Bombyx mori: one gene and its partner. The protein of the gene in region 2 interacts with the protein of the main gene of each other region in a pairwise test. Links are inferred from orthologs where the notes say so. Each region holds a gene or a part of one and is shown on either strand. Other genes may lie near its edges.

What was found.
Region 1: the proteins of calcium-activated potassium channel slowpoke (region 2) and alpha-catulin interact in a two-hybrid assay, tested with the Caenorhabditis elegans proteins (2 studies listed by BioGRID, with this or other methods). The link is inferred for Bombyx mori from reciprocal best matches to the Caenorhabditis elegans genes slo-1 and ctn-1.

The regions. Positions count from the first base shown.
Region 1 is NC_085111.1:8,801,130-8,810,967, forward strand, and holds the start of alpha-catulin, read left to right. Parts: upstream 1-4,525; 5' UTR 4,526-4,645; coding exon 4,646-4,693; intron 4,694-8,392; coding exon 8,393-8,573; intron 8,574-9,838. Other genes in the region: myosin-IIIb, read left to right, coding at 1,462-1,572, 2,200-2,551. UniProt on the Caenorhabditis elegans protein: Required for slo-1 potassium ion channel clustering at presynaptic terminals and in egg-laying muscles; clustering of slo-1 mediates the intoxicating and sedatory effects of ethanol on worms.
Region 2 is NC_085115.1:13,417,322-13,426,453, forward strand, and holds part of calcium-activated potassium channel slowpoke, read right to left. Parts: intron 8,489-9,132; coding exon 8,453-8,488; intron 7,698-8,452; coding exon 7,568-7,697; intron 5,846-7,567; coding exon 5,780-5,845; intron 4,676-5,779; coding exon 4,504-4,675; intron 4,273-4,503; coding exon 4,048-4,272; intron 3,678-4,047; coding exon 3,383-3,677; intron 2,976-3,382; coding exon 2,839-2,975; intron 2,399-2,838; coding exon 2,262-2,398; intron 1,831-2,261; coding exon 1,605-1,830; intron 1,198-1,604; coding exon 1,111-1,197; 3' UTR 1-1,110. UniProt on the Caenorhabditis elegans protein: Potassium channel activated by both membrane depolarization or increase in cytosolic Ca(2+) that mediates export of K(+). Its activation dampens the excitatory events that elevate the cytosolic Ca(2+) concentration and/or depolarize the cell membrane.

The DNA of each region.
Region 1 (9,838 bases), on a different chromosome or scaffold from region 2:
TGCGATAGACGACTGGCCGCGCAGATTGAAGGCCTGTATTCAAAATCACGGAGGTCATTTTGAATAAACTTTAGTGTCATAAGAATCTATGTTTTATTAAGTTCATTTTGGTATATGAATGGTTACATAATGAATAAACTTGTTTCAATTATTTTACATTAAACATGTGACAGAATTTATGACCTGACTATATATGTAAATGTGCTAATAAATAAATACAATGTATGCCAATGTAGGTACTTGCTATTTTACTAATATACATACATATAATAATAATAATAAATAATAAAAATCATTTATTGCCTTTCACATCACAGAAAATAAAATGGAATACAAATAAAAGAAAAGAAAAAAAAAAGAGAAAAAGGCAAAAGGAGGTGGCTCAGCTATTGTAATATATAACTATAATATAAATAGGTATATTATAGGTACCTATATGCTTTATGACATTTATGACACGGTGAGGAAGTATCCATAAATAGTCGAAGGTAAAATTGCTAAGTACCATTTTCTCCTGTGTTTTTCAAATGATTCCCTTTTTTATTTGTTTTCTTTTGTTGTGTGTTTGTTCACTATTGACGATTTAGCACTATTATTAAACAATGCAAGGAAGAGTTAGTTCCTTATTCAAAATGTCAATAAGAAAAGCGAAAATTTACCACATAAATTGAATCTAAATCTTGAAATGACAGTGATTATGGTGGAATTTCAATCATTTCGCCAACATTTTTTTTTCTATATAAGTGGTGTTTAGTAGCTACCGAGGTCGATAGACACCAACCATGAGGTCGAAGCGTAACTTGAGGTCTAAGCTTCGATTCACAATATATTGTAGACCGTAAGACTCGTGTAATATCAAGTATCCTACTCTACAAATTAGAAGATATGGCACAATAAGCCCTAGCACCCGAACTTGATGTAGGAATTTCGATAGTAAGTAAGGAGTATCACTTGTATCGACGAATGGTGTAAAATGCTCACATGTAGTGGCTTAAGGATTCCGTACTACGGAGTATCCAATTTACAGATAAAAAGGTTGCTATTTAAGACAGGCGTAGGTCAGGCTATTTGGTCATGTAAACTACTAAGAACTCTTAGGTGGAACTTACATGACATACCGTTCCATCCATAATTCTAGAACTTAATGGAACGGTTATGAACTCAACAATTTCAAATTATTTGTAATAAATGTGATGGTAGAATGCAGATCAATTGACAAAATCATAGTTTTTGCGTAACTACTAATCGTACGGTTAGGTTCTTCTACATCTTGTCGTGAATGTTAGTAATGTGTTCCAGTTTGAAGGGTTAAACAGCCTTCATAGAATATAATTGAGACTACAACCGCATGCCTCAAAATGAGTCGCCTTATTCACTTTGTCATGTCTATGAGCTTTAGTACCCTCCTACACTAGGTGGGCCGTGAGCTAATTCGCCATTTCTAATTTGATGTTCCATCAGGTATCAGCAAGTGAGCAACGGACACGAACCAGTCGTGGAAGAACGTCATCGCCAATCGAGTCAGAGCCGGCAGAATTTACCGTGCAGCCGTCAATGCAGCGGCCTCGTCAGGTACGAGAACTATGTCGCCAACTACTGGCCCTGATTATAATTAAGTACATTTACGTTTCTCTCGCATGTCTTACTCACTAACCGGATCAATAGAAACGATGGGTACGTAACTTATCATAACCAATCTGAGTGACGTTCTTTGCTAGTGTTTTGCTAATACATACTATTATATAATAAAATTATGTATGGTAATCGCAACAAACAAATATCTGTAAAGTCAACAGTGGTCAGAATTTAGTAACATAATTAGTTCGAATTCGTAATTTAAATATTCTTTCTGTGATTTATTTTCAATCTCATATATGGTTGCATTAATTATGTTGATAAATTTTAAAATGGTTAAATTGACTTCAGTTAGAAAACATTGTTTATTTTTAATTCTTTTCATAGAACCAAGAGTCAAAAGATTTTGCTCTTACGCCTGGCATAAACATACAATAACATTTTCTATGCCTGAATGAATTTACATATATTAATTAGATTAAGATTGCACATGTGGATTTTCCATTTGGTAAATATGACGCTCTAACCATCAGATTTTTCAGATCAGCTTAAAAGGCCATATTATTATTATCTGATGGTTTCGATTCAATTAGTAATTATTTATGGTTTATTTGTTTTCAACAGCAACAAGATTAGCGAACTGGTCCGGAACTCTCGTAAGGCGGAGCCTCCGAAGCCCGTATACAATATCACTCACGATCCGGAATCAACACTACGAAAGATCCTTCGCAACTCCCCGCAAATACTTGCAACGCCGATGTTCAGTTCTGATGACGATTACACCGAAGGCCCGTTTAGATTTAAACAGCTACTGAGGCCCACACTGGGACCTACGGAGAGCTTGCGGAAGAGAAAGGTCAGGAATTCACCAGGACAGAGCCCCTGGATGTCTGACAGTTCGCAAGAGAGTGTCAACCCTAAGCAGGCCTTCAATAAACGCCGTCCCCAAATTTGTATGGGCGTCTATTATAATTAAGCAATTGTGGCGCATTGCAGTATTCATAGTGAAATAATAAGTTGTCAAGTACGGTGTGTACTATCGTGTACAATATCATTACTTTTTTGTGTGTTTCAAATACATGTTCTTAAGATTAAATTTAATACGACAAAAAAATCAGAACTTTTCTTAGAAAAAATACTTCGAATGAGTTTTAAAAAATCATTTTGTGCTGATTAAAAAAAAATTACATCACCTAATTAGATTCAGATTTTAAATATTTTGCATTTAGTTACGTGATATTTTTTTATTGCCCTTGTAGGCATTCGAACATATGGCCCACCTGATGTTGAGTGGTTACCGCCGCCCATAGATTTCAGCAATGCCAGGGGAAGAGACAAATCGCTGCCTACTGATACTTTATATTATACTTTTTACTTATATATTATACTTTATACTAAATATTATTATACATTATTCAAAAACTAAGTTTTTTTCTTCTTCTCAATTAGCAATTTATTTGTTTATTTAAATTACCTCAACCATACTGATATATTACTGAATAAGAAATTTGGAAAAAATAAAATCAATTGGTATCGTTGAAATTTATATTCTAAAATTTGTGTTGTTTTTGTATTAGACTATTTAATTTTTGCTGACTTTCATATCTTGAATCATCATACTAAATTCATCGGTTTAGCAATAATAAGATATTAAGAAATAAATGTACTTAATAAAATACATTAAAATCATGTATATTATAGTTATATAGTGACATAAGTTCTTAATACTATAACTAATAATGAAACACCTTGCTAATATTTTATAAACATTTTTGTCGTTAATTACAAATACCAAAGTTATGTTTAAAGAATATTTTTATGAAAATATGTTGATATTATACGCTTTATCATTGCGGGAATATCGAGAAGTAAATCATTGACGACTATTGTGATAACGTGCCAATGATTATTTTAATAAGAAAACGTTTTGCTCGCGTAGTTTGAAAAAGTATGTGAAAAAATAAAATTAATCCTTAAACTGTGTTTTATTATTTACTTTCCTTTTATCGATATTCGATTAATACATCAGAAACAACAGCAAAGAATGGACGCGCACGTGTTCGTCGGTCAGTCAAAAGTTGCAGTGTAACAACATCGGAAGCGTATAACAATATGAAAACACGTACGCGTAAGTTCATACGTAATCAAAACAAAGTGAAGCACGTGAAGCTAGGAGTATTTAGATGCTAGTTGATTGTAAACGATAGCCAGGTGGCGGGCGGCGGAGGCGGAGAGGTGGCCAATGAGGGCGGCGCGGAATATTGCGCGCGCACACGCGCAGTCGCGCCCGCGCCAGCCATGGCGGCCGCCGGCCTGCCTGATCTCGACCTCAGACAGATAAAAACGCGATCCATCGAGAGAACTCTGCTCCCCCTCATTAAACAGGTACGGTACGCCTCCTACCGACCCCCAGACGTCACCTTCCTACCTCAGGCGGTTGCTTCGAGGTCTGTGACGTTCCTGATTACCGACAGAACACGTCTACGACACTGATCTGACGTCGCGTGGAGCTTTTACGATATCTAGTTTTACGTACCTCGTCTAAATTCGTAGTATTATTTTCGGAACTAAAGCGATTTAGAGCGTGTCGTCGCTTTGACGTTTCACTTTAGAATTTCCCGCCCGTCGCAACTATCTGTTGCGTTCAGTCGCGCAATCGCCTTGCGAGAGTTCACGGACGGCGGCGGATTCGAATGGACGGAGCATAGTTTGATACTTCGACTGGGCAGATTTCTATGACAATAGCCATTATTTTTAAGACTTCATTGTGGTGATATTTGAATTAGAAAATTCGAAAAGGTAAGAAAAAAAATCATCACGTACGTCAATTTGTTTGGTACTTAATCAGTGCTGATAAAGTGCTGAGGGCGGGCGGCCACGTGGGTATTGAACGGGCGGGGGCGGGGGTTGTGGATCGATGCCTGACGGGCCGGCAGTGCCGCGGCGAACGCGGGCGGAGCGGCTCGGTGCCGACACGGCAACGTCACGGAGCACGTGCGCGCGCCCGCGGACAGCGCGCCGTCGAGCGCGCGCCCACCGCCCGCGCGTCACGCGCTCTCTCTCTTGCGACATGGACGTGCTTTCCGATGACGATGAATACGCGCGCCGCGAACGACAGGTAGGCTCTTCCTTAATGAAACGAAACTTCTACTATGAGCTCCTGCATCGTTTTAACACGATCAGTTGTCGTGGTCTTACCCTGATAAAATACAAGCAGCAACAAGTAGCGGCATGTGGGTAATTTTCTACGACGACGTCAAACGGAGTATTACAGACCTAGCGTTGCTCGTATCCCGGGCAAATCATGCAAATGAAAAGTAGATCTTAGACTAGACTACTTTGTCTAGATTATATAACAAAAAAAAACTTAATAGAAAACTTTTTTGTTTTCCTTACATTAAACTTGAGCGTATAAATGTAGAGCATGTTTTTTTGTAAAGCTATTTTTTTAAAGTACTTTGCAAAATTAGATTATTTTTGGCTTATATGTATTACAGCTATCACATTTTATAATCTTACTAGCGACCCGCCCTCGCTTCGCTTCGGAAACATTATAACACACAGGAAACAAAAAAAAAAAATTTAAAAAAGTAGCCTATGTTCATCAGGGACAATGTCGGCTTCTAATGGAAAAATAATTTTTCAAATCGGTCCAGTAGTTTCGGAGCCTATTCGAAACAAACAAACAAACAAATCTTTCCTCTTTATAATATTATTAGTTTAGTATATTAGTAAGTATAGATTATAGTAAAACTACATCTAAACAACATTTTTTTTATTTAAAAAATATTTCACCTATTTAAAGAATTCCGAAAATTGCATTTATAATATGACCAACATGTAAGCCAATCTAAAAGTTTTATAAATTTTACTTACTTTCGCAATTCTTCAAATTAAAAAATAAGTTCGTCGCTACACGAACACCGTGAGAATGTATCGAGTGCTTATTTAATAATAAAACTACAAATGCTCGCCATCATTTAAAAAGTTTGGATAATAATCGCCTTTTATGTAATGTTAGAGCCGTTTACAAAAAATCGTACTATTGACTAAGAATTTTTGTAATAATTCAAAACAAAACCTACATTTACTCATGAGCTTTCATGAGAGAGTAATTGTATTGTATATTGTAAATTACCTTTTTTTTTTATTGCTTAGATAGGTGGACGAGCTCACAGCCCACCTGGTGTTAAGTGGTTACTGGAGCCCATAGACATCTACAACATAAATGCGCCACCCACCTTGAGATATAAGTTCTAAGGTCTCAGTATAGTTAGTATAGTTATAACGGCTGCCCCACCCTTCAAACCGAAACGCATTACTGCTTCACGGCAGAAATAGGCAGGGTGGTGGTACCCACCCGCGCGGACTCACAAGAGGTCCTACCACCAGTAAAAAGACTTTCATGAATCGGTTTTGGCTCACGACATTTATCTTTGTTTACCACGTATTCGTCTGTGCCAGACAGACACTGTGAGTAAGGTCTCGTTGTTTTATGTTATACTCTTATTAATTACTAAAGAAAATATTTTTATTCACTAAATACAACGTGTAGTTAAGACTATTACGCAATTAAAAAGATCAATTTTGCAATATTTGTATAATGAACGATGCTACTTCATAAAGCAAATACGGCAAATACGTTTTTCACATTGAGTTATCCCACCAATAATGAATTGACTTTACATTTTTTTATTAACTTTTTCTTAACTGGCTTAGAGAACAAAAATATGCAGACAAAATGATCAGCACAAGCTGATTGATTACAATACAATACGGTACTAAAAACACACACCACCAAATGTTTTTAAGACTATCAAGCACAAATAAACAAAACATTTGATATATTTAAGATATTTACGATTCAATCTCACATTGATTATTTTTATTTTACAATTTCAGATTGTTTAATACTCAACAGTTTTCGTGCTCAAGGGCTAGGATTTTTTTTTGCTTAGATGGATAGACGAGCTCACAGCCCACCTGGTGTTAAGTGGTTACTGGAGCCCATAGACATCTACAACGTAAATGCGCCACCCACCTTGAGAAATGAGTTCTATGAGTCTCAGTATAGTTACAACGACTGCCCCACCCTTCAAACCGAAACGCATTACTGCTTCACGGCAGAAATAGGCAGGGTGGTGGTATCTACCCGTGCGGACTCACAAGAGGTCTTACCACCAGTAATTACGCAAATTATAATTTTGCGGGTTTGATTTTTATTACACGATGTTATTCCTTCACCGTGGAAGTCAATCGTGAACATTAATAGAAGTTATGTTTCTGTTTTTAATATTAATAATTATTATTAATTTCCGCGACTGGCCAAATCCAAAAGTTAAGAAAAAAAAACTATGTTTATTATTTCATTGCTGCGTAAAAGATAAAAGTCCAGTTTCATTATCTGTTGGTAACATTTCATATATTTTCATTGCACTAACTGGTAGACTGTTTAGAAAATGTCTTTCTATGTATTAATCAGCTATCGGTACCGCAGCGAATATTGTAATAGTTCTATGAGCACATATTTAGATGACATATTCTAGAAATTTCGAAAGAGGTAATATCTGATTTTATGAGATTCATATATTAGGGGTTAAATATGAAATTGCCGACTGGTACTGAAAAGTTGAAATTGGGTTTTTTTTTTCATTTAACATATTTATTTGATCAAAATATCTACCATTATTTTCTATACATTGCTGCCATCTAATAGGAAGGTCATTTATGCCTTTGCGATAGAACTCTGGTGATCTAGATTCTACAAACTATGTGAAAGCATTTTGTACTGCATCCTGGGAAGAAACCTTTTTATCACGTAGAAAATTATCCAAATAACGATAAAAATTGAAGTCTAGGTAGAAGCAAGGTCTGGCGAACACTGAGGGTGACGAATGGTTATTAATATCATACTTTAACCCCTTTTATACGGTTTTGTTCAATATGCGACTAGCAAAAAAGTAGAGTATATAAATAATAGTTTAAAATAACTAACAAAATACGCTTTTATAGAAAGTCCAACTAAAAAATAGAAAATAAATTTTAATTAATTTGAATTAAAAATAGTGCAAGAAAAAGCGATTTTATTGTAAAAAAAAGCGTGGGGTGCTTTTCAGGATATTATCAAAATAGTCCTTCTACTCATATCTGTTCATAAAATATTTATTACTACTGATACCATGCACCCCATGCATCTGTGTTTTAGTTGGATTTTCTATAAAAGCGTATTTGTTTAGTTTTTTTAAACTATTATTTATTTTTAAGTTGAATTTCAATTTTTTCAATGTATTTTTTATTATTATTTATTTTTTTATTTATGTACACACAAAAAAGAAGACATAGTACAGAGTAATAGGAAAATTATCTACAAAGGCACTGCTTATTTCTTTAAGAAATCTCTTCCAGCAGACCTGCGAGAGAATTATGAGAATAATAATTAAAAGTGATGAGTGTGTGTAGAACAGCTAAAATAACAAATACAACATGAGAATTATAGTAATGCACATACATACACATAGCAAATATTTTTAAACTTGAATACAAAATATTATAAGTAACACAGTAGGTATATACGAAGAGTATAGAGCAATGATCATTCGGTTGATGAGAGATAGAATTGTTTGACCTTGTATTTAAAAACAGAAACATTAAATATTTTTTATTTAATGTTGAATGTCATCGGTCCTTAATAAGTACACCTAATTTCCGACGTTCTAAAGGGGGTCAAAATCATGTTCAAAGATTCCGTTACATACTAACATACATATGTCTGAAGCTACTAATAAAAGCGTATTAAAAAGTGATAATTTCGCAACAGATCAGCAATCTCGTGGCGACGCGGAACGAAGCTGCTGGAGGCGGTGCGGCCGTGCAACGAGTGGGCGCCGCTGTCTGCTGCGCCGTGGAGCGCTTCGTGGCCGTCGGCGAGACCATCGCTGACGACAACCCCGATGTGAGGCACAACATGGTACTCGCCTGTAAAGAAGCTAGAGCAGCGGGTAACTATACATAAAAATACTACTAACGCGTTTCCTAAAAAAAAATTAAAGTTTTGTGGGACACCGGATAGCAACGAAGTTCCTTATTATAAAAATATTAATTTTAAGTTCTATTCGAGGTATAAAGAAAATAAAACAGGAGGTTTCGCAACAACCCACGGTCATTCGGTAACGTGCGAACTTATTGTGGTACACTTCATTCACGGTTGTTTGCATAAGAGTTAGTGTATTGCGTAAACGAACGCTCTGAGATCGTGATCAATGAATGATAAAAAAAATTGTTATTTTTTGTACGTTATTACAAAGTTAAGTCGCACACTGTGTGCATTACTAATTTGTACGTTATTACAAAGTTAAGTCGTATACTGTGTGCATTACTAATAAAAAAATTACGTTACGGACGTTTTTCCCGTTTATGGTACCCCTCCGCATCGTCCCATAAGGAACTTCGTTCCAAAAACTACACCGGACGGAACGGACAATTTGTACCGGTCGTTTCTGACACTCTTAATATCTAAATATTTCATTTTTTTTAAAAATGTGTGTAATGCATATGTGGTAGAAGTGAAACCTTCAAAAAGTTTGGCTTAAAGATAATGAGACGAATACAAAATTTCGGAAAAATGATAATTGTATAATAGGTTTTAGTAATGATCATAGTGATACAAAGTTAGATAATTATTTGAAATTTTATTCGTATATATTACACAGATTTATTCAGAATGTGTGAAATACGAATATTAGGTATGAAGCAGGGCACAAAGAGAACCACTAATATAAGAAACAGCTGTACAATGCTTTCTATCTCCTTTTCTCCCACGTTAAATATTATGAATTTAAGTGTTTGTCTCTTTTTACTGTAGCTTTTTGGTTTCATCGACTATCAAATCACAAAGATGGAAAAGAGGAAGTTTTTTTAAAAACTTACAAAAAAAATTGGCACTGTCACGGCGATGTAACGTAACTTAAAATCAGCTGATGCGCGAGGTTAATAATGGTCTGATGTGACGCGGCTTACGAAGTATCAACTTGCGTAGTCTAGTAAATAATTGATGGATTGTGTTTTATTTGAGGTAATAGATGATTAGCGCAATATATTCCGCACTTTTTAATAATTTCCCTACCTTTACCCTTTTAAATATACACTAAAAATCAGTTTACTTATAATTTTTGCAATCACGGTAAGGATAAATAATTTTTAACACCAGAAAATGTAGAATATAATAACAAAAACATCAAACTAAGCCGCTAATCGATCTTTAATA
Region 2 (9,132 bases):
ACTATTTAGGTACTAACTTTTAATATTCAAGATTAAAGTTGTTCGCTTCTCAAAAAACATTACTTAATAAAATTGTTTTTTTTTTAAATTGCAGTCGCCATTGTTATTTTTGGAGCGCAAAATGGTGGATTTTGACAAAAGAGAATCAAAAATGAAGAAAAAACAGGAACAAAAGTGCTTTGCGTCTTTGTAATATAGCATAGAGCTGTGTCAATCTAGATTTCAAAAATTCAAAGATAATTTTTACAACACTTATGAACTAAAAATATAAACCAACGCCATTAATATTTTGACCATTTTCAACTAATATACATATTTTGTCATTACTTAAAATTTAATAAACATATTTAAATAAATTGTCTTATTTGGTGTTTTATTCGTGTTTCACGTAATTTAAAATAGCTTTATAGTCGCTTTTAGACTTAAAATAGTGCTGGATCAAAGTGCAGCAATAATATCGTGAAAATAATATAATTTTATAAGCGTTGTAATGTAGTGCAGGCAAAATTGTGTTTCAAATAAAAGGCGATGTATGATTGATTTAACTGAACGCAATGTCGGAAGTAGGATTTTTTATTTTGAACTGTGTAGTAAAAGTAAAAAAAAGGCCAATTAAAATATTTTTTAAATGAAGGTATTCTGGGGTTCGATTTAAATACAGTTGACAGTTTAATCTTGTTTTTATGGTATCACTAAATAGTATAGAACAAAGTCGCTTTCTCTGTCCTTATATCCCTATGTATGTATCTTTAATGTATCTTTAAAACTACGCAACGGATTTTGATGCGGTTTTTTTTAATAGATACAGTGATTGAAGAGGAAGGTTTATATGTATAATAACAATTATTAAATAGTGGAGAAATCAATAATAAATTACAGTTTCTGAAGGGTCGCTGGTACTCTATAAATGACAAGGATCAGAAAATGTGATACGAGATTTAACCGTCAAACTGTATCCAATCACGTCTCCAACTCAAAGTAAAGCACTTGGAGTTAAGAGTTTCGATTGTGCAGTGGAGGGTTTGGGCAGTTCAGGGCGGGATTGTCGAGACGCCGGGCCCCCTAGATGTAGGAGTAGGGCCCGTCGGTGAGGGCGCTGCACAGCAATAGTCAGGAGGCGTCGTCCTTGGGGGCGGGCGCGGCGCGGCGGGATGCGCGGTACTCCACGCCCGGGTCGAACTGCATCAGCACGAACACCTGCAAGCAGACCGCACTCACGCGTCTGGAGCCCGCCGCTGCTATATCCTAAGGCAGCGGTCGGGGAACCGGGGTGAATTACCCCAAATGGGGTAAAATGAAATTTTGGGGGGTAAAAATGAAACTTTTGCGAGTACAACTTTTTTACTGGTGATAGGACCCCTTGTGGGTCCGCGGGGGTGGGTACCACCACCCTGCCTATTTCTGCCGTGAAGCAGTAATGCGTTTCGGGAGGGTGGGGCAGCCGCTGTAACTATACTTGAGACCTTAGAACTTATATCTCAAGGTGGGTGCCGCATTTACGGTGTAGATGTCTATGGGCTCCAGTAACCAATTAACACCAGGTGGGCTGTGAGCTCGTCCACACATCAAAGCAATCAAAGCAATAAAAAAAAAAGATTACTAACTTGGTCGGTGGGCAGCAGCGAGAAGTCGTCGGGGGGATTAGTGATGACGTAGCGCTTGCTGCTCGCGTCGCACGAGGACGAGGTGTCCCGGAACCTGTAGAGGCCGATGCACAGCATCCCGTACGTGCTGAGGGCGGCCACGAACAGGTCCCCGTACTTGCCGGCCTCTCCGAACTGGGCCAGGGGACCGTCGTAGAGGGATATCTGGCCCACTCTACACCGGTCTCTGTTGGAAACGATTGATCAATAAATATACATAATATATATATATAATAAATAATTTTTACTGGTGGTAGGACGTATTGTGAGTCCACACGGGTAGATACCACCACCCTGCCTATTTCTGTCGTGAGGCAGTAATGCGTTTCGGTTTGAAGGGTGGGGCAGCCGTCGTAACTATACTGAGAACTTAGAACTTATATCTCGAGGTGGGTTTTACGTTGTGGCCCACAGATATCCACATTTACGTTGTGGATGTCTGTGGGCTTCAGTGACCACTTAACACCGGGTGGGCTGTGAGCTCGTCCACCCATCTTAGTCCTACCATCTAGGTCCTACCACCAGTGATTTCAATGTTTTCGTTTTTAACGATGCGAATTTGAAAAGTCGTTTTGAGATCATCGAGTTTGGTATTTGTTTAGTGAGTAGTGCGGAGACCTGTTGGCCAGACTCTCGGGCGTGGAGTACCCGCCGCGGAGCCCGGCACCTTCGGCGAGGATCAGCTCCAGCTCGGGGGTCGCGCCGCCCGTTATCAGCGAACGGATCAGTGTCAACGCGTTTTGGTTGAAGTACGTCTGCAAGTTCGAAATTGGTCAAACTTTGGGAAACCCGACTAAAGATTCATAGATTTGCATAACATTAATGGTAATGTTAATTTAATTATCATTTCCGATTTCGGGAGTCGTAGACATAAATAAAACGATTTTTGCGATTTAATCTCGCGTTTATTTTTGTCATTGTTATCGAATACTTTGCGGTTTCCGTACGCCGTTACGTTCCGTTCCGTTTACGCCTTACATATCATGTGATTTATTATCTATGGGTTACGGACTGAGATGTTGTTCTTTGACATTTGATTATTGTGACATCTGTCAATAAATTAATGCTGCAAAAACGTTCAGTGACTCGATTAACAATATTCACGTTTTGGTCACATTGAATTAGCCGCGGAATATCCTACAAATTTTGATATATTTCGATGGAAGATTAAAATGCTGATTTAGCCAAGTCTTACAGTGGACATGAGAGAGTCGAGTACGCTGACGGCAAACGCAGTGCCGCAGGCAAACGGTTGCGTCAAGTACAGCTCCGTGTCGGGGTCGTCGTCGTCGTCCTGGTCTAAGAACTGCACGTTGCTATCGTTCACCAGCTCTGATGAGCAGAAAGAATATCATTATTTTCAAATGGCACTAGACGAGGTCGGAGACTCACTTGTATACTCGACCGCTCCGCGTCATAAATAGGCAGAATAGTAGTAGATACGTGGGTAGACTGGGGAAAAATTGGTACCCGCTCGCAGGATTTGAACTTTGGTATAGTTGCATCTTATCGTATCGTATGTTCTTTCACCTCATTAAAACTACTTAATTAACATTAACATAATTAATCTTTCAAAATCACACGACGAGTGGCACATTAGGCTATCAGTCTACATCACTTAGGCGAAAATCCAGCGATATTCCTCCCACAAAAAAAAACGCTTCTAAAATTTTTCAAAAATGACACTATATTATATTAATATTCTAGAATTATGTCCTCACATACTGCGGTCAGTGTACCTGTAATCATAGGTACATTAGCACCGTATACGGATCCCCTCCTCTGTAGCAGCACGGGCGCGGGGGGCTGGCCCGGCAGCGGCTGCGCGTTGCTGCCGTTGGCCCCCGCGCCGGCGCTGAGCACTCCTATCGTGTCGTCGAACGTCATCGCCTTGATGTTCAACGAAGCCAAGATAGCTTCCTTGTCCGCCAGTGTAGGGTCATCGTTCGATGGCACCTTCGCTGACAGGATACAGCACATGTCGCATAGGTTCACGTTTACTGCACGCAAGTCGGCCCGGCTTAGCGGTGAACCCTAAACAAATATACCGAACGATCATTGTTGACTGTCAACTTCAGCTGTTCAATTTAGCATGCTGATTCGTAGACTTGAAGATAATCAACTTGGCATTGACCGGGAATTAAGTGCTATCAATATCTTTATATATTATTTTGGTGGTTTTCTTTTCCTGGTTGTTTGGTCGTCAAATATCGCATGACAATATTAGTCTTCTTTGCAATTCGCCACTCAAGCAAATGAAATATGAGGTATGGCTAGAAACCCAGAGCGAATCTATGTTATAAGTAAACCGTTTAGAAGTAATTACATTATGATCGCGTAGATTGAGACAGATTTAAACAGGATCATAACCTCACAAAAACTAATGCTCGTTAAGGATACTCACATTCAATACAGATATCTTCGGAAGATTCTGCAACATTTTCCATTCTCTTCGTATGTAGTCGACGCTTCCTACGATAACCACGTGTTTCAACTCGTGGTAGTGGAAATTGGAGGCTCTTAGCGGCATCACGAGATTCCTCAAGCCGATCAGTGGCGAGTCTGGATCCGCGAATAGACACACGACAACGTGACCATTTAGAACCGTCATAGCCGCTTGGTTTCTGTCCTGTTGAGATTTTCTTTATTTAATTTACGGTATCGGTAATTTAATATTGAACATTTTTTCGATAAGCATAAGGTTTGGTGAATTTCACTGGTCTATCTGGGCCCGGGTTTAATGCTGAGCGGTCAAATTCTCCATAGGGATTAAATTATATATGAACATTCAATTAGTACGTAATGCTTTTAAATTAATTTGTTAGAGTGATAATTAGGTAAAACTCAAAGCTCTACTTACTAATATACAATCTTCAAGATTCCTGGCAGGGCTCCAATGGAACATGCCTGTTGAGTCGTATTTCATTTCAGTCTTTTCAAAGTCGAAGTCTTTCGACTGGTCGTCTGCCAATCCAGCAGGCAGACTAACTCCATTGCTGTTCTGATTACCCCCACTGCTTCTGCTAGTAGGCCTGTCGAGTCATCCAAAACATTATTCCTTTCTCGATTTCTATATCTCTAACGAATTTCGTGCTAAATTGCGGGTGATAAAACTTAAATTTTATGTAAATTCAAACATGATTACTTGCTTTATTTTTAACGTGGAATTTTTTTAGTTTTATTATTTTATTTCATGCACTGTGGTCATATACTATAGTCAATGTATTGTGAAGAAGATCGTGGTACCTACTAATGTAGTAATAACAGTATAATATAGACTACGCAATTTATGTATTAATAATGTACTCGATCGGTGACTGTACTGTTTTAAACATAGCGAGAAAACGTGAAAAAAAACGTAATGCCTATTTATAAAAGTCTAAACAGAAATTATTTCTGAACTAAACTTTCGTATTTCTATAAAACCAAAACATGCTATGCTCCTAGATAACAGTGCTAAATAATATGAGTAATAAATTTTATATTACAAACCTTTCATATTTATCTACAATTACATGAAACGGGGGTAAACGTGACATAAGCTCTACGTACTACGGAAATTTCTGGAATACAACAAAAAAAAAACAAAAAAAAACGGTAATGTGTACAGGAGAAGTAATTGTATCGACAAATTACTTTTCTATTTTTATCTATTGATTATTTTACTCGAAGTGTATCTTCAATTTAATTAAAATTAAATTTATAGTTTAATCCCGCGTTTTTTTTAAATTTAATTATTATATGTAGGATGTATGATTACATTACAGTGTTCGTAGTTCCGAACATCTAAGGTGTCAGGCGTCAGCATTTGGCTCCCGTCACGTGTCAGTAATCATAAAATGACATTAAAAAACGCGGGATTAAGCCGTTCAAGTTAATTTTGGTTATGTCTCCGACCCGTGAAATCCGAAGAAAATGCTGCTACATCTTCAATTCCATAGAATTCATTGTTAATTGTTTTTATTAGGACTTTATTAAGACACGTTTTTTTTACTTAATGTTCTTCGAATTTATTATTCTGCGCCTTCGCCTGTACTGGTACCATTTTACAAACGAAAAGTACTAAAATTCGATACAGAGCCAAAACTACTGAGTCAAGAAATCGTCTAGCTTTTTATATAATTTATTTGAGTTACATGAGCTTTTTCACTTCGTAGGCAAGGTGATAGGCCTGGTAATTCGTGTCTTGATCTTGAGGATTCCTGTAATAGACACCAAATAGGTCTAATCTTAAAGGTGTAGTTGTGCAATAAATTTAAGCTGAACGAAAACGGAATCATTTTGTTTTTAAATTAATTAATCAATGTATGTTAAACTTAGATATATGGTAAATATATTTTCAAGAAATTATATAGGCTCTTCGATTTGATAAGTGGAAGGTTTGCTTGAGATATTCGCGTAACAATTAATATCAAATCTTCGAATTTTAATACCGGAACTCTGTTTTATTTAAAACCGGCTAGACAGTATAATATTTCTCTTTTTACTCCTTCTCATTAATATCTTTTTATAGTTCTTTCTTAGGAAATTAAATAAAAAATACACATATCGAACCAATCAAAGCACGGAGCAGCTTTAACAGTTATTCAATAGAACATGCTATTTTCTAAGTTAATTTATAGATATAGCGTGTTATCTGCTATTAACGTGTGTCCTGTCATCGGGTAATAAATTTAAAAAAAAGCAGCTAAAATAATAGCAGTTTATAGCAGGTTATCATAAACACTAATATTTCGTGTGCTCTGTGCTCTTGTTCTAATAAGGGTTCAAATTACACATTGAGGTCAAGCTTCAATGGGACAAACTTAGAAAAAACAACTTAATTCATCATTTTAAGTTTAATAATTTATTTTATGACCATAGCTGTTTTTAGAATGCTGACAATATTAAAATAAAACAAAACATCGATCAAGCAAATAACAGTCATGTAAGCTTTAGAGCATCTTTCATCTTTCAGATTAATGACAGTAATTGCTACGTATAATTATGTTGAAATCATACTAAACTTAAGTGGTTGAAATTCACCTTTTTTTTATTGCCCTTGTTAGGTTAGGTAACCATTTTTTTTTTAATGTAACTAGTTACCTAACAACTAGGTTAGGTTAGGTCTTATTTGACGTTATGAAAGATTCTCTAAACAGTTTTTTTTAATAGTTAACAAAAAACAGTTAACATTACAATAGGGTCTTTAAACTGTCATTAGGTTAGCTGATTTCAATTTGTGCTCTATGTTGTTGTTTATTAACGTCTGTTTGTGGTTTTTATTTATTATCTAAGTACAAGACATTAATACAGTATTTACGGGTGTATCGTAGGACTTTTAGAACCTAAATCATTTCCTTGCATGTTTTACGGAAGTGTACATTTTACGATTCCGATTCTCGGCTCCGATTATAGTTTATAATAGTTTTAGTCTGGTTTGTTGGATACAGTGTAATTTACCAGTATATTAATAGAGTGAGTGAGGATCTATAGAGTCTTATTTTTTATCAAAACTTTTCAGTCGCTTTTCATTCCTGAAATACATAATTTTTTAATATATTATTTTTTCCAATAACTTTCAAAATATAATTTTCAAGAAAATATGCTCATCATAAACAAAAAAAATTGTTCGTATATTGTATAGATTGTCGTCGTAATAATATATGGATGCCTATCATTCACCCGTAGTGACAATATTAATTTATTTCCCGCCTATCCTTTCCTAGCTGGATTTCGACAAGGCAATGCCGAAAATTAAAAAAAAATCCAAAAGGGTTCCACAACCTCTGTCGTACGACTAGGAAATGCCAGATATTACGTAGGAGGTAGTCAGACTAGACGTGAAAGAAATTAAGCCAACTGTAACAACGACAGGGATGGGATGGGAATACAGGTGCAGACATCACCCGGCGGGCGACAATGGCGAATCAAATAAGACTTACGTATCGGGCGGTACTCGATTGACGTTCGGCTTTACTTTGTTGACTTGCCGAGTCGTCGTCGTGTTCACCAGCTGGTTCGCCATTGGAGACAGCATCGCCGTCGGCGCGTTCCGATGGTTGCGATTTATTACTTTGTCGAAAAATAATTAACGTTAAATTAATGTTAAGCTTTTATAACGCTTATCTTCCGTGCTGTTTTTTTGTCGTTTTGTGCCATAATCTAATTATAAACCATTAATTGGACCTGTTATTATGTATCTATGTAATTATGTTTTATATTAATTAATAATGCAACACCGGACACGTGTGCAAGTTGAGCATTCTGGATCCAAACCAGCCTTTGGGATAAGGTAGTTTGCACATTCATTTTAATTTTTTTGTTTTATTATTATCATTATTTTATTCCTAAATTGTTGTTTTTGTTTTTATTTTATTTTGTGTTCTATGTGAAATGTTATTCTATTGTTATTGAATGTAATATGAATTCCAGATCGAAGTAAATGAAATAAATAATTAAAAAATTAAAATCTATGTCGTGTTACTCAATTGAAGACTTGATTAAATATCGGTTTAATATACATAGCAGCTTTCCAAATGAAAGACAATCTTCTCATATATATTTTTTTACGGAATATTTAAGGAAGAAAACCTTTTTGTACTATATTGCTACAGAATATTCATATCAGAATTGTTTTCTCCCTAGTGCGTTCTATTTTATTCGTACAATTATACAAAAAATGTCTACTACTTTATACAATAGTTAATGTAAAAGGTCTCCTAACAATGTTATTGACTTAACTTTACAAATTCACGGTTGAGGTTTTCCTACAAGAATCTCTACTGTCACGGTAGATTAATAACAACGTAATGCATGTAGGTACTTACAGTTTGTATCTTCCCCCCTTTCGCGGGCGATTTCGCCTGAAAACAGGAGGAACTTGATTAGAAGCTAAAATCATTGATTTTCAGGTACCTACAAAATTAGGTACATCCCAAATAGAAAGGCTTTATAGCTATAATGCATCTATATAATTGGATTGGGATGATAAGTGACATCAGCTGTAACTTATTGGTTATTGATTTCAAATTGAAATACTTAATAAGTTTTTAATTTATTTTCTACTAAGATTCTTTCATTTATCTTTTGAATTTTTCTTTATTTGATTATGGTTAAAGAAAATATTTAATTAGAATATTTAATACAGGCAACATTTCGTCATTCAATAACACTACAACGAAAGCATAACATTAAAATACTGCTGCCAGTAATCGATTTAAAGTATTAACATGCATTCTTGGATAAAGGGCAAGTATACATGAATTGTATTATGTATAATAAAAAAATATTTATTATTAAGGAGTACTAATAAATTTATTTCGAAAAGTACCGAATAAGAAATAAATCCATTAATTGGCAACAATAGCTAAACAAGTAATAGTGCGGGCACCATTTACGAGCGAATGCTTTTCCATGATACATGTGTGATGCACGGCAAAGGGATACAAACCACAAATGATAAAATACATCCGCTTTAGAGTTTACCAAGAAGCACATATCAATGGAG